6 linked regions of the Oryzias latipes genome follow. The protein of the gene in region 5 purifies or fractionates together with the protein of the main gene of each other region. This does not show direct contact. Links are inferred from orthologs where the notes say so. Each region holds a gene or a part of one and is shown on either strand. Other genes may lie near its edges.

Region 1 (4,172 bases), on a different chromosome or scaffold from region 5:
CACAGATTTGCCGGGACGTTTCTGAAAGCCCAGAAGAAAAATTCGGGTTACATCAACTTGACAAATTATTTAACGATAAATAAATGCATCTTTGGTTTTGTCTGTGTGGCTCACGTTTTGTTTTCCTTGTTTGCCCTTCTTTCCTCCCTTGGCGTGCGCCACTCTGGCTTTGAAACCAGAAACATCGTTGTAGCTCTCCTTGGTGTTCCACTTCTTCCCGCTCTTTTTGCCTCCAAAACCAAACTTTTGGTCCTTGTATTTCCGCTTAGCACTGGGGCTGAAGAATCCAAGGGAAAACCAGAGGAATTTAGAGAAAATATGACAGAAGCAAAAGAGGAAAAAAGCAGAGGGGAGAAGCTTTACCCTTTTTTGTTCACTGCTTTACTGGGACCTCCTGAAGAATTATTACCCATCTTCTGGTCTCCTTCCAAAAAGTCCAGTTTATCTGACATTCCTGGAATAAGAAAATGTAAAAGAATGCATCAGATTTGGCATTTAACAATTACAAAGTACATATCATGGCCACAGAAACAAAACCCAAGTCCTCACCTTTCTGGTATTTCTTTACAGCAGACATCATAGCCTTCTTCTCCTTCTGTCTCTTCTGGATCACCTCTATTTGGACCTGGCAAACAATCAGACAGAGGTTCCCTCACCATTTGGAGCACAAACACGTCTTCGTATCTACAGAGTGAGAGGCGGTTAAGAACAAGTCTCAGCAAAAACAAACCTTTTTGCCAAATTTCCGTTGCTCCCGCAGTTTCTTGGCCTTTTCAGACTTTTCCAAAATCATCTGCTTTGCGGTCAGCTTCTGCCTGATCTGGAAAACAAAAACAAAACAAAACAGGTTTGTTCCTGTTTTCCAACTCCTGTAAAGTAAAAGACTGCATTTTGTTCACAAACCTATTACAGGGTCTCCACAGATTTACAGAAGTGAATTTGAAAACCTTCTAAAGAACAATTAAAACCTACAAATCCGTACAAAGAAAATGAAACAAACAGCTGGAGTCTGGCTATTTCTTTCTCTACACATGCGTTTTGATCCGCTTGACCCTTTCTGTGCCACATCTATGTCTTTCAGCAAACTGTGCAGTTTGCTATAGTAATTACTAACAATCAACACAAGTAATCCATATTTTTCAAGCCATTTCTTCATGAATTTGCATCTTCCTAAAGCTTTTTAGTCTTTATGGGTCCACAGCCATCCATATTACAAAGGTCCAGCTTAACTTTTCTATCAGACATCTGCTACAAATAAACAGAAAGCCACATTCCTGCCAAGTACTATCCATGATTAATGTTTGGAGCTTAGAACATGTTAGAAAGCACACCCCCTTTAGCATGAATGAAAGCAAGTCACCTTCTGCATGTGCTGATCGGACTTGGCCATTTCTGCAAAGTAATCATCAGGCCTTCTGGTGTTTATGTCATGCTTCCTCAGGAGAGGGAGGGCCTCCAGGACTGTGGCTTGAGCTTGACGGTAACTGTAAAAGAAAACAAAACAAATGACATCATCAGTTTAAACAGCCATCACTTCAGTTTAACACAAACACACAAACCTGGTCATTTGTTTTTCCTCATTAGATCAAAACTTCAATAACTCTTTTTTTTCCCGTTTCTGAAAACTGTAAATGGTTGCTTTAAAAAAAGTTCCTTTAAAGAAAAAAAAGCTGTAGCCTAGAACACCATATGACCATTACAAAATCCTGTTACAAAATATTCCCACCGGTGATTTAAAAAAAAATTCAAATCTGAATCCTGAGCTCAATATTTTGAAATGTCATTTTATTAGAAAAAAATAAAAACACGCATGATGTGTTTTTACCAGCACCAATGTCAGGTTTATTGGGTGTGTGGAGTATCTTTAGTCAAAGCTCTAAATTAGGATCAACAATGACATGCAGTCGTACAAATGTGTAAGAACAAATTGCAGATTGCAATTATGACAGGGTAAAGAAATGTTTTGCAAATGTGATAACCGAACCCAGATTATGATAATACTTTGAACCCGAGGTCTAGAACACAGTGGTCACTTACAAGAACATCTCCCTCTGGAAATCATCCTCTGCATCCGGTCCTCCATTTATCTCAGCAGGAACTTTCCCTTCCACTTGGGATAAGACTGGAAGAGTGCTGAGGTCTAACCTTTCCACCCAGGAGAGGTCTTTCCGGAAGTCAGCAAGACACTCTTTTAACCCCTCCTGCAGCCATTAAACATGTTCACATAAATGCACTATAAATAATACACTTTTTTTCTCTTAATTTAAGAGTAGTAGCTTCATCACAGGTGTAACTAAAACTGTAAGAAAACCAACTTACCACATTGTTTACCAATTTCTTAGATTTATCCACCAGAACGTTCATTCCAGGTTTCAGCAACCCTTTGGTGAAGGCTTCCTGAAGCTACAGTTAAATAAATTAATACATTACCTTTCGTAAATTAGAATAATCACTTAGACCAAATCTTTCAGAGACAATAACTTTAACCAATTTTTTAAAAAAGGGGAAAACAAATCCCCAAAGCGTACATCATATAATGATAACTTTTAGCTGAACAACTATCAGAGCTTGAGTCCGGTTAGCATAAAAACTCACCTCTCCATCCGATAACTCGCTGCCTTCTTCCTCTGAATCCAGGCCGAGAAGCGACTCCTCTTCTGCAGACTCCATCGTGTTTACGGCTATAACCATAAAGAGGGCAAATCTTTCCAAACAACCAAGAAAAGTTAATTGTTTTGGACGCTTCGATTTTCCTCACGTGTACTAGCGTTCACGCGGGGAGAAATGACGTCATCGGAAGTTCTACAAGCAGAGTGCGCCGGTGGAAAACTGCGATCAAAACAAAAGGTTCCTACAAAAAGAAAATACATTCCACTGTTACACTCAAGAATAATAATGCAATGGTAATTTATTTATTATCAAGGTTGTTCATTTATTTATTTTTTCCCAAATTAAAATATTACCCGCAGTTTCAACCGGCAGAAAAAGAAAACAAGGTGAAACCTAAGTGTCTTTCAAATTCAGCTGGAGAGAGCCACCAAACATGTTAGTGTAAAACAAAAATGTAAAAAAATTATTATTATTATTATTATTATTATTATTATTATTATTATTATTAATAATAATAATAATAATAATAATAATAATAATAATAATAATATCATTATCAGCATCATCATTATTGCTGCACGGTGGAACATTGGTTAGCGCCCGTGCCTCACAGCAAGAAGGCCCCCGGTTTAAGTCCCGGCTGGGGGACCTGAACCAGAACACCAATGGGGGACCTGTTTGTGTGGAGTTTGCATGTTCTCCCCGGTTTTCTCTGGGGTCTCTGGCTAGGTTAATTGGCAACTCTAAATTGTCCCTAGGTGTGAGTGTGAGAGTGAATGTGTTATTGTGGCCCTCCAAAAGACTGGTGACCTGTCCATGGTGTCCCCTGCCTTCGCGCACAATTGGCGGTGATTGGCCTCTGGCATCCTGTGACCCCAAATTGGGACAAAACAGAAGAAGATGAATGATGAATGAATGAATAAATGAATGAATCATCATTATTATGGTTGGACTTCCCTATGTGGAGTATGCATGTTCTCCTCGTCCATTTGTGGGTTCCCCCAGGGACTTATGCTTCATAGGTTAATTGGTTACTCTGTCCCTTGGTGGGAATGGGAGTGTGTGTGGGATTGTGGCCCTGTGTCAGACTGGTGACCTGCCTTTCACATAAGTGGCTGGGATAGGCTCCAGCAGCCAAGCGACCCCAAAAGGGATTTAACGGTTTTAGATGATGAATGAAAGAATTATTATTATTATTGCTTTTGTTATTGTTGTTGCTGGTATTCTCAAAAAACAACACACACACCCGAAGACAAGAGAGCGTTTTCCTGACATTGACTCCATGAGCGTTCTCTATCTGCTGTACTGTGCGGGTGTTGAGGGGTCCCGGCTGCTGCCGCTGCTGCGGTGGGGGCCTTGGTGGGGGGGCGGCTGGGCTCTGTCTCTCTTTTTACATTCCATCATCCACCCCAGAAGAACATAAACACTCACTCGAGCACAGGTGCTATCTCACCTTTGCACAAGTTTGCGTGACTGAATGAAATGTTTCACATGTGTTAGTCTGAATGCATAAGTATGCGTGTGTGAATGTAAGTGGTATCCATGTAGACTTATTTGTGTGT
Region 2 (4,175 bases), on a different chromosome or scaffold from region 5:
TTACCGCAGTTCTTTGCGGCCCAACACTTTGATGTCACGACAGCATTCCTTTATTTCGCTGCTGGTGGAAGAGTGGGACTCCAGGTCGGGACTGTCAAATTTGATCTGGGAGGACAGAGGAGGAATTAGCTTTAGAAAAAAGAGAAATCCTTCTCAGTCTGACATTAATAAAAGAAAAAACAGACTCAAGTGTCAGGTTATGGACTGTTTAACATCTCAGCTGGTGTCTTTAAAAGTGTAATTTTTAACTGACAGATGAATTAAGTGTTGCCTTCAGGGCGCTCACCTCGCTAGCTTTTCCCAGAAAGTCTACCGGATTTTCCGCTTTCAGGAAAGATGTCACGGTGAAACTGTGGTAAAGCGTCAAATCCCCATCTGTGTATCCCTCTGCCTACAACAACAACAACAACAGCGGTCTGATAAGTAATGAACGAGCATGACTTCTGCAGCGGAAGTCCCATGAAACAACGCTTCCATGATAAATCCAGAATGTCTTTACAACTTTACAGAATTTGCTTTAATAATTAAATCAACAGACACTCTTCCGGGAACTTGCCTTTGGTTTCTTGACGGTAATCAGATCCCTCACAGTTTTGGCTTGCACCTCCACCTCTTTGAAGGCATGTTTGGGGTCAAAGAACTTACCGTCTATTTTGTCTGGAGCTAGAAATCCTGGAAGGAAACAAAAAGCATGGATGTTCTCTGCAAATGCACAATAAAAACAGGAAGTCCTCCAGTGGAAAAAAGCTGTGCAGCAGACACTGACCCTGACAGACGACAAAGATCTCAGCGGACTCGTTTCTCGACGCCTGTGGCTTAGTGGACTGCACCTTCTTGAAGAACTGCTGGAAGATCCAGAGGAGGGGCTGATAGTCTTTAGACCGGAAGACCTTGGTGACAAAAGTGCCACCTTTGTTCAAAAACTCACAGGCCAACTTTAAAGCCATGAGAGTCAAGTGAGCTGAAAGTAAACAAACAAGAAACAGATCAGAGTTTAAAAAGATTGAAGTGAGCCGACAAACTTGTCAGGATGTGATGCTGCAGATACGGGTTTGCACATGTTAGAATTTTTAAAAAATAAATATTTTTTATGTCTGGAAAATATTGATCACATAAAACTAGAGAAATAAATGCAAATCATCCTCAACACAATTTAAAATTGAAGACAGCACTTCACATTAAAAGCTAAACATAATAAAAACTGTTAAAAACTAATTTCATTAATAAGTGAATAAGAACATAAAAAGCCAATAAAATGTAAAAAGTAGAGCAATATCTCATGTATGAACGAATGTTTGGCTATTAAAATGAATTTCACTTAAAAAACATGTATATTCCGGCCTCGTTTTACCTTGGGAGAAGGCGTCGTGTTGCCAGTTCGCTCCCACATTTGGGGCTCCATCATTTAACACGACGTCCACTTTCCACGTTTGAAGCTCCTTTCGTAGAGCCTGTAAGTGGAGAAGATGCATTCATGCCACACTGGGAGTTTTCAAAAGCGGAATCATCAGTTTTCTGTTGATTTTTTTCTTTACTAATTAATTCAATATTTAACAACTGAAAATGAGTGGGATATATCTGTTTTTTTTTTTATTGTATTATTCCATAATTTGTAACGCTCGACATAAACCAATCAAATCAGTTCTATCCGTGGAAATGAGAGCAGTATGTTTGCAGCACCTGTTTGCACTTCTCAGTGGTGATGTCCTCCTGCAGTGTCACTACACTGGGAATGGGTCTAATAGGAACCAGGTCCACACCTGAGAAAAACACAGAGGATCACATCATCTTTGGAACAGTTCAGTGAGCTCAGACTCAAAACCGCCGTTTGTGCTGATCATGACCCACTCACCAATGATGAGACTTGAAACAGGCATAAACTTGGATGCAACCTGTAACCTAGTGAACAGAAATACATTATTATACGAATTAGAATAAAAAAATGTACGTTTTACTGTAAATTTGATTCTTTTTCTTTGTAATCATCACCATCACGATTAAGAAATTTTTGATTTTAGAATAAAATGATAAAATGTAGTGATAAACCTTTTGAAAACAGCACAGAATCAACCTTTTTAATTTGAAGTCCCTACGGTCTGGTAGACAAACTCTTATTTGTGAGCATTTTATTGAATGTTTTTTTTTTTTTTACCTCTGTTCGTTTTTGTTTATAACACAAATGGACTTAATGTCTGCTAAAACCTTTCATTTATTTTTTGCGTCCAGTAGTTAGTTACCGAGCAAAGAAATAGAAGCTGTTATAATCGTGTTATCTGTTATTGCTAAGTTCCAGACCAGACGAAAATCACCGCGGTGATTTTTTTTAAGTGTGAAATTAATGGTGAGGAAAAAAAAGACAAGACACAAGTAAATGAAATCCTGAGCTTACTAACCATCCACCTGGAGCAGCGCACAGGTCGACCAAAGCTCTTGCTTTCTGCAAAAACTGGAACTTACGATTGAGCTGAATGAGTTTAAAGGATGAACGAGAGCGATAACCTGTAAATAAATCGTTAAGTAAAAGGTTATTTAACAGACTCAGTTAGAACACAGTTTCTGTTTAAATAGCCAGACTGCTACGTACGAGGGCTAACATTAAGCCCGTTACGTATACCAAATAAATATACCTGTTTCCTTTGCCAAATGGTAAAATTTATCTTTTCTAGTTTTTCCAACTTTTAGTTTCTTCCCCATATTTATCGCGGGATTGTTTTCTTCCCCAGCAAGAATCCACGAACAGGTAAAAAACTAAAACACGTGTTTACGTCCCGGCGCAGAAATTGTACGTCACGAACTTGTCTTCTTCTCTGTCAACATCCCTAGATGTTGAATCTGTATATAGTGTTTACCGCCACCTGCTGTTCGCAAAGCATCTTGCAACTTGACGTTGTGTTGCGTGAAACGTGTGTAAAGCAGAACATTAGACCGTACGGTCTAATATGGTCATCAGTTTTAATTCCTCTCTTTTTAAGTGAATAACCTAAAAACATAAATTTATGTATTTAAGTACACGGAATACAGGCAGTGTAGTTTTTAATCCTTAAACAACAAAGTCAGTTCCATTCTGATGAATACTTTATTGGTTTTGCTTTCAATAACAGCTGCATGATCGTTGAGAGACGACAGCCTCGGGTGAGGTTTGCCTCCGTCAGAAAGGTCTGTTTCTGGAACGCGTGTTGATCAGCCCCAGGACAGAGAAGGCGCTGGCTGCAGCCGTCACCACGCTGATGGCTCCAATGGCTCGTGAAGCCTGTGGAGCACAGAAAATGAACCAGGGATGATCAAACCAATGAGGCTAGAGCTCCAACGTACACATTCGTTTTATACCGCCCATCAATAATAAAGTGCAGCTCCTAATATGATAGTGTAAAAACATTATTTATTGGACTTCTTTATTGGTCATTTTCAGATGCCACCAGGAGGTTGACAGCAGAAGATGGTTTGGGAAAGTGACCAATCCTTTGCTCTGTGGTCTATTGGGACCTTAAATAGTATTCTTCATTTAGAAAGTAGCCACACATTGAACAGTTTTCCTTGATCTACAGATTGTTATTTTCCACTGGAGACACATAAAACAAAGCAGACAGTGGGAGACCTGTTCGGACACCGCCTGTCCATAGCGCAGAAGGGTAACAAAGTGCTCGCAGTTGCTCCCCAGCAAGTCATAAGACACCTCCTGGTCAATGAGGACTTGAGCTCGCTCGATGATCTCACAGATGGGGAGGGGAGTGTGGTTGTCGTCGTATTTGTTGTTGACGCGGTACGAGTCGCTGCCCACCACCTCCTTCAGCAGCTGCATGCGCACCACGGCCTTCCTGCTGAAGACGGACTTCACACTGGACATGGCGGCGGCCTGGCTCTCATCTGGAGGAGGGAAGAGCATAAGTGAGACAATGTCAGTTAAAATCACATACATATTTATTTAAACTGTTATTTGCTCAGTTCATCTATTTACTTTTTTGTTTGCACGTATATTTGGTGAGCTGTAATTTGTATTATCACTTGTTTTTTTGCAATTGCACAGTACGACTTCATGTTCATTAAACAGTTACCATTGAGACAACCATTGTTGTTGTAAATTGAATTGATTTTTTTCCTTCGAGCTGACAGGACAAGTGAGTTTCTCCCTATGAGATAATGAAAGTTCAATTCAATCCAAATGAGCAAAAGAAAAT
Region 3 (4,157 bases), on a different chromosome or scaffold from region 5:
CGGAACAAAATTCTGAAACTCTGAGCTTAGGAAAATGTGCAGAGGACCATCAGCACCGATGTAGTTCTCATCACACGGATTCAGGGGATTGACAGATTTTGGCAAAACATCATTGGTCCAAGAAACAGACAGAGACACAAGCGTTTCCTCACCACTTCTCCAATCAAGGCTGCCAAGTTTGGAGCGACCTGCGACATCTTAGAGCGCAGATACTCCTGCAGCCCCTGGCGATACGCAGCCAGGGACACAACACGGTTGGAAAACCTCTCAATGTTGATCAGGTCAATTGGAGAGATGTCCATTCCTGAAAGGGAAAAGACGATAGCTATGAACAAAGAAAAGGACCAGTTTGTATTTTGAGCTGCACTGTGGGATTGTTTCTCCCGACAGGATCCGCAGTGAGGAGGACACGCCTTCACTACAGGTTTATGAGAGATATCATCTACCCCCCTGTGTTAGGCACCCAGGACGATTATCGGTCCAGGGTGGGCATAAAAGGGGCTTATAAGATCAACGCTACAGTAGGGTACTGGCTTAAATTCTGACCCATAGAGGAGCGAGACGCCTCCAGAATGGCCTGAGCTTTGGCACTGTCCATCACCACCTCCTCCAGGCTCTCCAGCTTCTCCTCTGTGAGCTCCTTCCTGTTGCCAATGAGCTGGGCCAGGCGGCAGTACATTGAGTTCTCTGAAACGATCTTGATCAGCTCCGGGAAGTGGTAGCCATACCATTCCCTGGAGTGCACAAGGAAACAAACTATGAATATCCTGTGTGATATAACCCTTCAAAACTAAAATGCACACGTTAGGGAAAAACCAGACAGGGAAATGTATCCCCCCAAACAGTGTGGCGTTACGAGATGTCAGCAAGTACCGCGCAAATGTTAGGAGAAGGCTGATGTACCTCCTGTTTCTATACAGACAACACTCTGAGGTGCACTGTCTGTGGTAAGCATTAGGAGGACACTTTATCTTTCAAACTTTTATAGAATTTAATTCAGTTTTACCCTGGAACCAAAACAAAAACATCCTAAACAACCAGCTTACCGCACACGCATGGAGAAAGTGTTGATGTCTTTATCCAGCTGATCCAACAAAGCAATGGACTGGATGATCATGTTGTCAGCCCGATTCACGTTAAACTTGACCTTCGCTCTGGAGTAGCTGTGACCCAGACCAAGCTGTGCCTTGGAGGCGGCGAGAGAGGTCAGACCCTTCACCAGAGAGTGGAAGTGAAGGCGAATACCTGCAAAGTGAAAGCAAACAGGAGGGTTTGTGGGCGCAAAAGGAAACTGCCACAAAACCGGAAACATCTGGGGGCTGTTCAGATTTTCAGTATAAACCATCACAAATGTCAGGATCAAAAGTGCATCACAACAGACCACCCCTTTTTATATTAACATTCACAGTAATAAAGTAATAACTGAGTTCACGTCTGTATTCAAACAAAGACATAACGCACCTCTAGTTATCTCAGCCACCACTCCACCGGTTTGTATGGAGATGTTCAGTTCTTCTTGCAGCGCAGCTCCGATCTTGGCATCAGAAACCCCTAAAGACGGCTTCTTCTTTCCAGATAGAGCAAGGTTTGTCTCCAGAAACAGCTTCAGATCAGCATGAACGACGCCTGCATTGGAAAAAACATCGCAACCTTTAGCAAAAACACAACCCGTAATCCAACCATGCAGCCAGCAAACACTTCTTATGCACCAGGAAATAGTCTTAATCACTAAAAGATGCATGAATAAACTCAACTTTTCCCCAGATGTTCAGCAGTAACATAAAAATATCATCACATTTTATCAGTGGATTGACAGATTGTAAACCATCATTACAGCTGAGAATCTTAAAAAACAAACCCATTCAGTAAATAAATACGACTTGCCTTCAGAAATTGCGTTGATGTTCTCCAGGGCGGCCTGGGCGGACTTGAAGGGGAAAAAAGCAGCCAAGCTCACCATGCTGTTGAACTTCCCGATGCTCAGCACGCTCTCCTCCACCTGCGACGGACACACAGACACCGTTCACCGCTCTGATCCACTCCCGACAACACACCAGACCGGGACACGCAGGAGAACAGGCTCACCTGGGGGAGAAGCATGCCGATCTCCTCCACCTCCTTCACGGCGAACAGCGCGTAGCCCGCCGCGTGCTCGAACAACACGTGCAGCAAAACCTGCGAAAGGTACATTTAAGTAAGTAACAATAAATCCCTTTAAGATTTATCCCAAATGACATTTGTAGTAAAAGTGGTTTTATTGCAAGTTGATTTAGGCAGATATGAATTACTTTAAACTGGAACCACGTGGTGGCTTGTCGAACCCACGTGTTTGACCTGGGCCCAGGCAAACTTGCTATTAAGCTAACTAATGCTAACTGCTTAGCGATTACCCCTTCACGCGGTTTTAAAATCCTTCAAACTCTGTATACATAATATATTTTGACTAACACAGCTGTTCATGTACCTTTTCACCAATTCAGTCTGTGGCTGTTAAAACAACTTTAGACACTCCCGCCTATTCTTTCCGCACAGGCGGCTAGCCGCAAAAAACGGTCGTCATTTTTTCCCTTGACTTTTTAAACGTCATTTGAACAAGTACAAGGGGATTTATCGCCTCTGCGTAGCTTCAAGTTGTTTCTTCAGAATAAAGGTGGCGGTGCACAAGAGTCATTTATCTTACCATGATGGCTAAATCTGCGCAGCGGCACACAACGTGTCTGCTCCGCTGCTTCCACACACGAAAAGAGAGCAGAAAACTTTGACATGACCCACATCTCGCGAGATTATACTGGCTCCTCCCTCTCCGCCTTTCTTTCACAGCTGCTGCGAGCTTGGCTTCACCTCTTGTTCACAATTATGGCACCTCCGAATTTTTTTATTGATCATCAACCAGTGCATTACATCACATTTTTTATTTTTATTGGAGTATTTATTGAATTATTTATTTAAAGCATCAAAATATAGGAATAATACAATAGAAATGACAAAACCTATATATATCTAAATTATTTCAGATTTGAAGTAATACGTTAATTAGAAAGTAAAGAAAAATAACCAAAGATAAAAGAAAATGGTGCCATCTCATTTTCTTGAAAGTGTAATAATCACAAATAAACATCTTTGCAAAAACAGTATACACAAGTCTATTCAGATTCATTCATCTGTATAGAAGTGTCTACTCACATTTAAGTCACACATTTTTTATCAAGAAGCTTTTTCAGTAAAAGTAATCATTGGAAATCATTTTGCATGGGCTTTGGACAGGCTTGGACAAATGTCATATTTTCCTCTGAGTCTTTCCAGTCTAGTATTTTTTATTTAATTTCTTCATTTAGGTATTTTATGGTTAAATTGCTGCTTACTCATTTTTTACACTAAATTGCTGCATGTCTTTTAATCACTAAAAGCACTTTTATTTGCTTTTATCAAAGCTACTTTCAAATCTAACTGTCCTAAGTTGATTAAAAGGTACTTCGCTTAGAAACATATTGTGGACAAAAAAAGGTAAAGAACTATTCTTTTGGACAGAAAGTAACTAAAGATGAAATGTTGCTGCAACAATGGAAAAATTATTTTAAATGTATTTTAATCCGAAAAATGCATTTTTTCTTCTTGAAAGCTTTTCATCAACAGGAGTGTTGAGATTTAATTATTCAAACACAGACCTGACACTCCAAAGAGACTAAATTACTGAAAATATAAAGAAAACACTAATCAGCAAAACATGTTTATTTGCAATAAAATACAATTATAAAACATATAAAAACTGTATAAGGCAGGTTGCATTACTTGCTGAGAAAAAAACTATTAGTTGGTCCAACTTTTACATCAAAAATGTGAATTATATCATGATTCTTTAACAGAAATATGACAAACGTTTAAAAAGCTACAAAGAAAAAATGAGCAAAACCAACAATAATGAATGAAAACAAAAATGGGAAAAAAGGACATCAAAATGGATGTGATTTATCTTTTTCACGTACTTTAAACATTATGAGGAATATCTTTTTATACAGGATAGTTCAAATTCCTCAGATGACTAAAACCAGGATTTCTGTACCGTACAACTGTACAATAAATAAACTGCAAGTGCAAAGTGATGGAAAAATGTAAAAAGGTTTCATGTGTCAACGTGTTAACGTGTTTTTACTACACAG
Region 4 (3,124 bases), on a different chromosome or scaffold from region 5:
CTAGCGGTCTTTTCAACTATGACTATGCCGTTTTTAGGCTAAATAGAAAAATCAAATGCTGTTTTCTAGAGAAGAATTTGTGCAGAGCAGCAGTTCATCAGTAGGTGGAACTATTGCTGCAGAGTATGTCCACCCCCACTTTCCGTCATCCATGTTTACACGCTCTCCCACTAGATTACAGCGCCTCACATTTCTCTACATCTTTGTGTGCAAGTGGAGGCGGAGCAGGGAGACTTTGGTCTGCCCAGTTCAGTTTCTACGTTACAACTGAGGGATTTATCAAACAGCATTTTCTGTCTGCTCCTGATTCACAAGGATCTGAATAAAGAAATACTCAATAATGCAGTTTTAATCTAAAATTTCTTTATTTATGTCCTCCATCATGAGAAAAATGCAACAGAATTTCTTTTAATCTTAAAATTAGCTTTTCATTGGAAATAAGTTTTTTTTGAAAACCATATGACATTTATTGGAGGTAAAAAAAAACTGAAACGGCAGACTTTTGTATTTAAATTGTAGAATATATTTGCTTTTCTGTCAACAGTACAGTCAAAAAGCTATGGGGAGCAGGAATCGGTCCTCAGAGTTCAGCTCTGCAGCAGCAGGATGTAGAGAATTTCTTCAGCGCTTCCCAGGTTTCCCTCTCCTCTTCCCTCCTCCAGCTTTGCCTCCTTTTCCTTTGCCCCCCTTCCCCTTGGGCCTCCGGGTGGCTCCCCCTTTGCCTCCCTTCTTCCTGGACGCAGCCTCCTCCCTGTCCTCCTCTCTCATCTGTTTGTTGACGGCTTTGGTGATGTCCAGCTTGGGCCTCTTGCTGTCCATGACCTTCAGGAGCTCCAGCTGCTTGTGCTTCTCGCTGGAGAAGTCCCCGATGAGGGGCTCAAACTTCCTCCTCTTGCCTGCGTTCTTGGGGGGCTTCTCCTTTGGGAGGCGATCCTGGAACCTGCCCACGGATGCCGTGGAGGTTTTGGCCACGCTCACAGCTTTGCTCAGCTCGTCTTTGGATTGCTTGGCTCGGGGTAGCAGCCCCACACCGGGGTTTTTTATTTTCTGAGATCTGGCGACGTTCTTCAGTCTGTTGAACTCGTTCTTTGCCACCCTCTCCTTCTTGGCATGGGCGCGTTTGGCGAACTGGTCCTCGTTCGGGTCGGAGGTCTGCGGAACCTCGATCAGCCAGTCTTTGGTGTCGTCGTTGGCCCTCTTGTAGCCCCAGCGCCTCCTCCACTCCTTGGCCGTTTCATCCCACACCAGGTTCGTCTTCTTCTTCTTCTGGATGCCTTTCAGTTTGGCGAACTGCTCCCATTTCGTCGGGGGTTTGGGCTTCGGAGGAGGTTTCTCTCTGGGCAACCGGGTCGTCGGCTCCGGTAGTTTGGCTACGATCGCCTCCTCGACCCTCTCGGTCGGCACCTTCCAGATTTCGTTGATAAGAAGCTGCGTGTTGTCGCGGGCCAGCGACCGGAGAAAGTCTTCCTTATTCTGCTCTTTGAAGTCCCTGGACTCGATGCGGTTTTTGTCACAAGCTAGCAGGTTTCCCACGTCAAAGTCCAAATCCAGCTCCTTCTGGACGGAGATGGTCTTCAGTTTTTCAGCCTCCTCCTGTTCGGCTTTCGCTAACAGCTCCTCCACGCTGCACGCAGCCATGATTTCGACCACTACACACGTGGGGCAACAACAGGAGTCTTCTTCCGGGTCACGGTGTAGTTCATTGTCTCACCGCACGAGGCAGTGTTGCCTAATTCCCACCGGTAACCATCAGGGGGAAGTGTTGTTTTATTTTCTTGTATAATACAGAATTTGGCTGCCAGAGGGCAATGTTGTTCCACTAATTTGACATTTAAATTTGAATAAAAAACAAACAAATTAATGCAATGTATACAACTTGTTATAATAACACACACATAAAATACACTATATTAATAAAAAAAATCTAAATTCATGCCACATTCATGCAACATTTTTAAGCTCTTTTCTCTTTTTCACACCAATGAACACTAGGGTCAAGTTTAAGTTCAGTCTGTAGCCTTAGGGCGCTTCAACAGGTGGACTACAGACATCAAACCACAGATGATGACAGTCACAGAAGCTCCAGATGGGTGTATATACATTATTTAAAAAGATATATATTTAGCTAAACTAGACAGAAAAAAACATGTAAACGCATTTTTTTTGGGGTAAAAAGTCAGTTACAGTTCATCGGTGACAGTTCAACAAAATTTCAACTCTATGTGTCAAAATACAGTCAAGCTAAGAAATATGCAAAATTTTTCAAAATAAAACCATGTTTGCAATACTTGTTTTTGAATTTTATGGACATTCAGTTGTGATATTTATTTAAATACACATTTAAAGTGAGTTGGCATCGATAATTTTGGTTTCCTTCAGTTGTGTCACCTGGCAGAGCTTAAAATATTAATCTTTTAAAAAATATAAGCCTAATTTATCCCTCAATATTTTTTGTAGGTTACAAAACACTATAACTGCTGTCATTCAGGTGTTTTGGGGAACAGGAACTGCCTCGTATCTGATGCTTGCTTCATAAGAAACGGTCAATGTTCTTCCTTTTTTGTCAAATATTTTGTGAACTCAAACAGTGAAAAATTACAATAAAACCCCCCAAAATAGCATTCAAAAGTCTGAACATGGCCTAAGAATAATATAATGTCATGCTTCCAAAGTTCTAAAATCCAAACGCATGTTAATAAAGACATGGCAATCTCCAAAATGCACCCATCAACAGGGAACTCAAATGGCTAAATGACCAAGGCAGGACAGGAGCATCCATGCATGGAATATAAATACAATATATAATGTTAGCCAAATGGCTACAATACACACCTGACTAAGGGAATACTTGTTCTCAGAAAAAAGGTAAAACTTCTATGACTTTTCTTGCCAATATTAATATCAAAAAATAATTTTACACATCTAGCCATCCATTCTTTTTCTTGCTTTAACCCTTTCTGGGTCATGGGGATGCCGTAGCCTAACCCTGCCACTGTTGAACGAAGGTGGGACACACCCAGGACAGGTCGCCAGTCTGTCGCAGGACACTTTTGCAAACACCTTCTTACAATAACTGTCATGATAAATGGTGCTCATCATATGATGCTTCACTACCTTAATTGAA
Region 5 (3,500 bases):
AACTCATGTCCAGCACCATCTCTCCTTCCTGTGGAGAAAGAGCCATGACAGGCAGAAAGCTGGAGGCTCCCTGCAGCATGTAGTGACCAGCCAGATACTCAGGGGTCGCACCTGCACAAAAACACACACACACACACAAGGTGAAGAACTGAAGCAAAATGTTTCTTAGCTGCAGTCAGTCTGAGACACTCTTCAATAAAGACTTGATTGACTTAAGTTCTGAGCACTAAAACAGAAACTCACCAACTGGAACAGATGAGTCATAGATAACCAGTCCAACTTTAGACCATTTCCCAATTGGATCAAGGTTAACCCCTCTGTTAATCAAAGCCTGAGCAAGAAAAAGTAAAACAAGGTCAACATTTGACACTGGTTTCTGCAGAACATGCACATGCAAATCTTAAAAAAACTTAACACATAAGTTTCATTTAAGTATTTAGGTGGTTTTCTTCTTGCAAGACTTATTGTCAACTTTAGGCCTCTAGGAAGAACATAAACACATTTAACCAGGAAGAGTGTCCACCTGGGGGAGAATTTGGGTTTTAATACCCAGTTGGTTTTAAAGCTGCGTCCACACTGAACACAATTTGCACGTCAAATTCGCATCGGATGCCTCTCCTTTGACGCGCATTATATTCACTGCTCAACACTTGTCAAGAAATTGTTTTCCTAAGTTTGACGCTCCAGACGTGTGTGGGAGGAGCTACTGCCGAGTTTTCTGGACTTCATTTATTGCATTATCATGGAAAACATGGACAATGTTGAGTGAGTAGCTTGGGTTTATATGTTTTGGAGAGCTCGGCAAGGGTGTGTCCAAACTCCAGGGCTGCGTCCTTCAATGGCCGCGGCCTTCCCCGGCGACGTCGGCCGGATGTTAGCTGCCGTGAATTTGGACGAGTCTAGCCTTTAAATAATTCCAGCCGTTACATCAGCGAATGTCCTGTCGCCTAGCAACTGTAAGTCCCAATCAGAGAGGAGTAGTGAACCAGGCATGGAGTTGAAAATTTTCCTGGCTTATTTGATCCGACTTTCAATCTAGTAGGTGTAATTATAAAAAGGTGTAATTATCTCCAAGTCCGCCATTGTTGTGAGAAAATCTATGGGTTCGGCCGCAATGCATCTTGGGATACATCAGACCAATCCTTGGTCAGGAAAAAGTTGGCCGTATTCGTTGGCCGCGTTTGAAGGAATCGTTGAATTTAGACAGCACTTGTCGGAGCGCTGTGACGTAAGCAGACTACAAATGCAGCCCAGGAAGAACGCAGCCCTCCAATTTGGACACACCCATAGAATTTGCTTTGATTTAGATCTAGACAACTTCCTCCTGTACATCTGCTCACAATCATTTTGTTATTATGCACATTTGTCAAACCGTAACAGGCAAATTATTTTATTCAGAGAGGATCAGGAAAATTTGCAGCCTGTCGAAACAAAGTTCTTTGTATTTCTGAATTAGTTAGATCAATATTTAACCTCAGAGGTCCTGTGTCATTGACTAGCTTCTTCCTTAACCCTCCAACACCTGAGATGTCACCAGCACCACACGCTCTTTGACACAGACCAAATCTTCAACTGTTTACGTGATCAATGTGAATCACCTGATTCTGACGTGGAGAAAAGCAGCTTCTCATATCGGCTTTGCAACAATGTGCAACACACTACTAATATAAAATGCTGTATATGACCACAAGGCTGCTTTTCTGTGCTTCAGAGTCCACTGGAATTGTGTTATTTGTGTGATCGGGTAAAGAGTTACGATAGCCTAAAGAATGTAAACACTGGAGCTTTAGCTTTTTAACAGGTGAGGACAGATGCGTCCTCTACTACCCGCTTATGAGGTAATCTAAGATGCTAAATGTCTAAAGGTAAGTTACCTGTGCAAGGTCCCGCCTTCGTGTTTTCAGCGTGTTGGTCCGAATTGTGACAGGTCTCTGAATTTCATTGGCTTCAAGGAAATCAACCAGCTGTGAAACAACAACAAACCTTTTAGGCATAAAACTTTCAACCAAACATCAACAACTCTGTGTCTAATATTGTAGTAGGTTTAGGGGATGTCATCTGGACTTGGTTTTAAAGTTGGAAGACGTTTCACCTCTTATCCAAGAGGCTTTGTCAATTCTGGAATAGCTGGTCTAAGAGCTGGTATATATGTGCAGCTCCTTCAGCGTCAGACTGAGACATCCTAAGTGTCTGAAGGAGCGACACCGCAGGTCGTTTCTACCTGCTGCCGTTAGACTGTACAACCTTAACTGCTCCCAGTGAACCACGTTAACCAACATCATCGGCTCTGTCATATTTCTTTTATCCTGTGCAATAACCGATATATGGTCATCCTGTGCAATTTTTTTTTTATTTTTATTTTTTGGAAATGTATGTGTATATTGTGTATATATGTGAGTATATTGACTCCATAGTTTGTTTCTTTTATATATTGCTCTCTCTCTCTGCACTGTACTGCTGCCGCAAAAAAGGAAATTTCCCCATCGTGGGACGAATAAAGGAATATCTTATCTTATCTTATCTTATCGTTAATAGTCCTTTGTCCTCAGCTGGGGGTTGGGGAGTCAGTGACTCGCTCTCCACATTGGTCCTCTCTTTCCCGACCCGAAACCACATAGGCTAAGTGGACAACACCTCCAGTTTCAGGTCTGACTCCTCCCCCATGAGCGCATATATACCAGCTCTTAGACCAGCTATTCCAGAATTGACAAAGCCTCTTGGATAAGAGGTGAAACGTCTTCCAACTTTGAAACCAAGTCCAGATGACATCCCCTAAACCTACTACAATGGAACCAACCTGGATGAATGAGAGTCTTCATAGATCTGTGTCTAATAAACAAAAACCCTGAAAGTTCAAAGAACTCACCTCAGAGAGAGGAAAGAGTTCCATCAGTTTGTCGATGAGGAAGCTGTTGTAGCTGTAATAGGTGCAGAGATCTTTCTTGAGGAGAGAGACATAGTCTCCTCGGGCTTTGCCCTCCTCCCTTTTTGCTGAGAAGTTACAGAGAACATCCACGTTGTCCTTTATTCTCTGATGGATGGTCTTCAGGTCCAGAGACAGCATTCCTAAAGGTAGATATGATGATTAGGGTGGCTGTGAAGAAAGTCATTTCTAGTTTTTGGTTCGATGTTTCTGCAGTAGATAGAAATACCCCACCCTCTTTTTCACTCTCCTCTGGATCCGGCAGCCGGAATCTGTCCACCTCATCTGTGTTGGTTTCTAAGGTGCCGTCCTCATCCATGTCTTCGTCTTGCTGTTCATCTTTTTCGTCCCCATCATCTTCCTCCTCCTCCTCTTCTTCATCATCATCATCGTCATCATCATCTTCACTCCCAAGGTCCATTAATTTCTTTTGCTTTTTCTCCTTTTTGGCTGCACGTTCAATTGGAAGAAGCTGATTGCAGAAAAAAATATTTCTTTAAATTCACAACAATGATTGTCGGGTTACAAAAATTCATTCTTTCTGCTTTTCAAAGGATGAAAGTGTTTCTACAGCAGA
Region 6 (4,134 bases), on a different chromosome or scaffold from region 5:
TTTTTTTTAATAACAGAGGTTCATTCACAGACACAAACTGATGGTCGGTGGGCTCCACTAGAACGTGAAAACACATTTTCTGTACGTTCTGTGTGTAAAATCAGAAAAAGCAAAAAAACAATGATGCAACATTGTGGGGTGTTGTGTGTTTATTCGCTGCCTGAAAAGAAACCGTCTACATGATTAGTCACAACAAAACTTTTCCAATGTAACGTTAAGGTCAGAGGGTCAACAATGAGTACATTCCCATTCTCATAATGCTTGTTTTTGCATTGTAGCCTTACTGAGGCTTTAACTTTTACAACCTTTCAGGGCAAAAACTTATCTGGAGGCTTGCCTCAGTACAAGGTCAGAAATTGGGAAACTGGGGCAATCTGCACTTGTGCCTGTGCCTTGCATTTAAAGATTATTTCAAGCACTGAAGTACAATAGACAAATATCTCAGAATGGTTTTACTTTACATTCAATGCACAGAGGATATTTAACAGTTTAAATTTCTACTCTCCTAACCAAGAGGGTCCCAGTTTAGCATTTTCATTTAAATTCCAAAACTGAAAGACTTGATCATCAATGTTCCCAACAAAAAAAGGGGTTGACGTGAGGATCAAATGTCTGCCAGAAGCAGAGGGCTCGCTGACCAAGTATATCTTCCCAAATTGTTGTGTTCCTGACTCTGCAGCTGACAGCAGACTTCATTGATTGAGCTGAGCACCCAGAGTCTCAATCAGCAGCAAGAATAAGAGCTGTGCTTAACCGTGATCTCTTGAAATCTACTATCACTAAAGGTCAAGTGGAAAAGCACTAAACCTCGGATTAAACCAACGTTAATTGGTATTTACAAACAAATGGACATTATGTAACTTTGGATGGCTGCGGCAAAGCGCCTGCTGCCCTTATCTCCTTTCAGTACGAATCAGTTCACAGCTGGGAGCAATTCATTGACAACAAAAATGTATATAGTGCGGACTCTATGGTTTTTAAATATAAATTCAGTTCATTGGATGTAGAAAATAAGAGTCAGAACCAGCAAGCTGCCACAGCTAACCTGTAAGCTAACGCTCCCGAGGTCTGTGGTTTTTTCTCTCTCTGTGCTGACAGCTAGCCTAGCAAGCTAACTGAGTCCGTTTTCGTTCAATTTGACTCCTGTTTTTCACAGTCGCTTCAAAATCAACGTAAAAACACCGAAATGTAAGTGTGAAATAATTTCATCGGGATAACTATAATACCAGGAGAGTAAACTTACCCGAGGGTGGCCGGGTCGCTAGAGAGATGACAAGTGTCTGAAATCTGAAGAATGCCAGAAAAAAAAAACCAGGAACTGCTATCACTGCTGACGTAGATCCACTTCCGCTTTAGATCGTGACGACTTCCAGTTTACCCACGTTGTGTCGTTTCTTGCGATATTTAAACGTAATTCTCCTAGATTTGCTTTAAACTCTAATTATGAGACCTTTAACGGAGGAGGAGACAAAAGCGATGTTCGAGAAGCTTTCGAAATAGTAAGTGACTGTTAATGCATCTACGTTTAACATTAGTTACTGTTTATTTTAGCCCGTTAGCATGTGTGTCCCATGTGTTTTTTCCTCTCTCTTCCCCTCAAGCATTGGAGAAAACATCAAACTTCTTGTGGACCGACCCGACGGTACCTACTGTTTCAGATTACACCATGACCGAGTGTACTACATGAGGTATTTCCTGATCAATACCTAAGATTGTTTGCGGTAATTCAGCCTAGATGTTGATGCAGCATCGTTTTCTCTTCACAGCGAGAAAATTCTTAAGTTGGCAACGAACTTTTCTCGAGACAAACTCATTTCAGTGGGAACTTGCTTTGGAAAGTTTACAAAAACTAAGAAGTTTCGTCTCCATATAACCGCTCTGGATTTTCTGGCACCTTACGCAAAGGTAACACACAAGTTGTCACTGCGCAAACTCAGAAGAAAAAAATGCTTCTTTTTGAAGATAGTTCTTAAAAAATTAAACACTCTGCCAGGAATATTATTATTCAATTATTTGTTCATTCTTTTATAAGCAATTATGTGAGCAAAAGGGATGAGAAACAAAAATATTAAACTGGTATGAAATGGTGGCGCCATTGAGTGATTATTGTAGTTTTTGTTGGGGATCAGTATTACAGAAATGTAACAGTCCTAAAAGTAACTTTATTGATAAAAGCAGTCCTTACCCAGCAGGTACTATATTTGTTGACTTCTGGTTAGGTCTTCTCCACCACCACAAGCAGCAAATCAGTATAATAGCACATATTTTATTAATTTAAATATATTCCTTAACCTTTTTAATTACAGTGTATTTTTTTAATCTGTAGATATGTGTTTCTAAATCTATTTTTACTTGCCTATATATCTTTATGATGGATTAACAGGAGCATAAACTAAATCAAAAAAGAGGATGAATAAAAAAAGGTAGAGGTGGGTGTGGGGGGTCCTTTTTATATGCAGAAGTAGATTTATTGTGATGTAAACTCATCATAAGTCACATTTTCCTACATTATGGGGGAAAATGCTCCTATATGTGATTAACAGTGTTGCAGGGCTTCAAATGTTAGTGGTCATTAGGGATACCACAGTTCCCCCGTTTGCAACTGAACCACATCTCGCTGTTTACCAGTATGTTTACATTCAAAGGGCCAAACAATTGTTGTTAAATTAAAGAAGTTATTGTTTTATTACATTACACCAGGCTTAGAATAAGCCATCTTGAAAGGTTTTTCTTTATTGTTACTTGCCTATTAGGAAATGAGAAAAAAGATTGTATTTTTTTTTGTTCTTTTGTAATAAACAATCATCACACCTTCCGCCTTCGTCAGGGTCGACCCTGATGAAGGCGGAAGGTATTCCACCGAAACATGTGGGTAGGTTTAACAAAATCAAACCAGTTTCTGAAAGAAAAATAATTTAAGTACTCAGTATAATTTATAGACACAATGTACTTTAATGAATCATTAAGAAACAATCATATTGAATTGAAACATAATTAAAGTTTGAACTAAACTGTAGGTAAAGGGAAGGAAATATTGTTGCATCTCCAGTAGTCATGTCTGTGCTCTTCTGCGAGAAACAATTGCTTGTAGAAAACGGGAACTAAGAATGACATTAGCATCATTTTACTGTTGAGATAAGTGGAAATGCAAAACCCCAAAAAAGTTGAGTTCAGCAAAAGAAGCCATGGAACATCTTCTTTATGTAAAACCACACACATGTGCTACTTCCATCAGTTAAGGCATAACTTCCTTTTTTGGCTTTTCCCTCAAACGGACACTTCACTTACCTACCTTATTTTGGAGGGGGTGGGTTGGGGAAGAGGTTCTAAGACAGTTTTTAGATCTCAAAAGAAGGCGTACCTTATTGAATTTATTATTCGTCCTTTGTGATTAACTAAAGAATGGTCTTGTCTTCAGTTCAAGGTTTGGGTGAAACCAGGAGCAGAGCAGTCCTTCCTGTATGGGAACCATGTGTTGAAGTCTGGGCTGGGAAGGATCACAGAGAACACCATGCAGTATCAAGGAGTTGTGGTGTACTCCATGGCTGATGTACCGTTGGTAAGACTTTGAATTTCCTTGTTTGGCTTTAAGGTCATTAGTCACAAACACTTTTTTTTTTTTTTTTTTAGCTAATAGTATAAACTCAACTTCATTCATTCAGCTTTAACATTTTTATTTTCCCTTCTAAATTTAAGCAGAAATAGCAATATTTAGTTAGCTCCCAGGTACATAATTGGCTCAAAATGAGTTAAATGAAAATGTGCTTCATCTCAAAAGGTCAGATTAGAATTAGGAAGTCTATACTGGTTCTGGAACAGCGTTCTTTAGTCAGATTAACCAGTACCAGAATAACAGGAAAGGCAGGTGCTCTTTAAACGTTTGCATGGCTTTTTACTGACTGGCTTTTTAACGAAGGCATATTTTTCTATTGTTCAAATATGAATCAACAAAACTGTTATGGCAGTCACGGCAAAAGCTGGTAGTATGATGTCACAGCTGAAGCTTTGCCGTCTGCACATTTCATTTTTCACGTCAACTCTGCTCATAGTTGCATGTATTATCTTATATTTGTTATTTAAGCAGAGAGCTGCAGCAGAATAAGATGTGTTTCTCCAATTTTATAAAATCAGAAT

The links.
Region 1: the proteins of nop2 (region 5) and ebna1bp2 fractionate together in Homo sapiens (co-fractionation; 3 studies listed by BioGRID and IntAct, with this or other methods). This does not show direct contact. The link is inferred for Oryzias latipes from reciprocal best matches to the Homo sapiens genes NOP2 and EBNA1BP2.
Region 2: the proteins of nop2 (region 5) and ftsj3 fractionate together in Homo sapiens (co-fractionation; 3 studies listed by BioGRID and IntAct, with this or other methods). This does not show direct contact. The link is inferred for Oryzias latipes from reciprocal best matches to the Homo sapiens genes NOP2 and FTSJ3.
Region 3: the proteins of nop2 (region 5) and nop56 fractionate together in Homo sapiens (co-fractionation; 3 studies listed by BioGRID and IntAct, with this or other methods). This does not show direct contact. The link is inferred for Oryzias latipes from reciprocal best matches to the Homo sapiens genes NOP2 and NOP56.
Region 4: the proteins of nop2 (region 5) and rrs1 fractionate together in Homo sapiens (co-fractionation; 3 studies listed by BioGRID and IntAct, with this or other methods). This does not show direct contact. The link is inferred for Oryzias latipes from reciprocal best matches to the Homo sapiens genes NOP2 and RRS1.
Region 6: the proteins of nop2 (region 5) and nip7 purify together in Homo sapiens (affinity purification with mass spectrometry; 3 studies listed by BioGRID and IntAct, with this or other methods). This does not show direct contact. The link is inferred for Oryzias latipes from reciprocal best matches to the Homo sapiens genes NOP2 and NIP7.

What each region holds. Positions count from the first base shown.
Region 1 is NC_019862.2:16,838,067-16,842,238, forward strand, and holds the start of ebna1bp2 (probable rRNA-processing protein EBP2), read right to left. Parts: upstream 2,801-4,172; 5' UTR 2,692-2,800; coding exon 2,596-2,691; intron 2,404-2,595; coding exon 2,320-2,403; intron 2,202-2,319; coding exon 2,038-2,201; intron 1,485-2,037; coding exon 1,361-1,484; intron 821-1,360; coding exon 731-820; intron 626-730; coding exon 550-625; intron 455-549; coding exon 364-454; intron 278-363; coding exon 115-277; intron 22-114; coding exon 1-21. UniProt on the Homo sapiens protein: Required for the processing of the 27S pre-rRNA.
Region 2 is NC_019862.2:9,092,113-9,096,287, reverse strand, and holds the start of ftsj3 (pre-rRNA processing protein FTSJ3), read right to left. Parts: upstream 2,801-4,175; 5' UTR 2,695-2,800; coding exon 2,628-2,694; intron 2,500-2,627; coding exon 2,394-2,499; intron 1,900-2,393; coding exon 1,853-1,899; intron 1,761-1,852; coding exon 1,681-1,760; intron 1,452-1,680; coding exon 1,352-1,451; intron 962-1,351; coding exon 767-961; intron 673-766; coding exon 557-672; intron 392-556; coding exon 287-391; intron 106-286; coding exon 5-105; intron 1-4. Other genes in the region: phospholipid-metabolizing enzyme A-C1-like, read right to left, coding at 3,149-3,250, 3,596-3,864.
Region 3 is NC_019863.2:17,294,861-17,299,017, forward strand, and holds the start of nop56 (nucleolar protein 56), read right to left. Parts: upstream 2,801-4,157; 5' UTR 2,684-2,800; coding exon 2,681-2,683; intron 2,195-2,680; exon of another isoform or gene 2,176-2,194; coding exon 2,086-2,175; intron 2,000-2,085; coding exon 1,885-1,999; intron 1,627-1,884; coding exon 1,462-1,626; intron 1,246-1,461; coding exon 1,047-1,245; intron 735-1,046; coding exon 547-734; intron 494-546; exon of another isoform or gene 373-493; intron 305-372; coding exon 153-304; intron 1-152. UniProt on the Homo sapiens protein: Involved in the early to middle stages of 60S ribosomal subunit biogenesis. Required for the biogenesis of box C/D snoRNAs such U3, U8 and U14 snoRNAs. Part of the small subunit (SSU) processome, first precursor of the small eukaryotic ribosomal subunit.
Region 4 is NC_019878.2:17,066,328-17,069,451, forward strand, and holds rrs1 (ribosome biogenesis regulatory protein homolog), read right to left. Parts: upstream 1,709-3,124; 5' UTR 1,639-1,708; coding exon 622-1,638; 3' UTR 501-621; downstream 1-500. UniProt on the Homo sapiens protein: Involved in ribosomal large subunit assembly. May regulate the localization of the 5S RNP/5S ribonucleoprotein particle to the nucleolus.
Region 5 is NC_019874.2:20,213,824-20,217,323, reverse strand, and holds part of nop2 (probable 28S rRNA (cytosine(4447)-C(5))-methyltransferase), read right to left. Parts: intron 3,396-3,500; coding exon 3,158-3,395; intron 3,067-3,157; coding exon 2,867-3,066; intron 1,965-2,866; coding exon 1,875-1,964; intron 332-1,874; coding exon 244-331; intron 112-243; coding exon 1-111. UniProt on the Homo sapiens protein: S-adenosyl-L-methionine-dependent methyltransferase that specifically methylates the C(5) position of cytosine 4447 in 28S rRNA. Required for efficient rRNA processing and 60S ribosomal subunit biogenesis.
Region 6 is NC_019861.2:25,703,565-25,707,698, forward strand, and holds the start of nip7 (60S ribosome subunit biogenesis protein NIP7 homolog), read left to right. Parts: upstream 1-1,334; 5' UTR 1,335-1,443; coding exon 1,444-1,499; intron 1,500-1,601; coding exon 1,602-1,688; intron 1,689-1,766; coding exon 1,767-1,905; intron 1,906-3,418; coding exon 3,419-3,559; intron 3,560-4,134.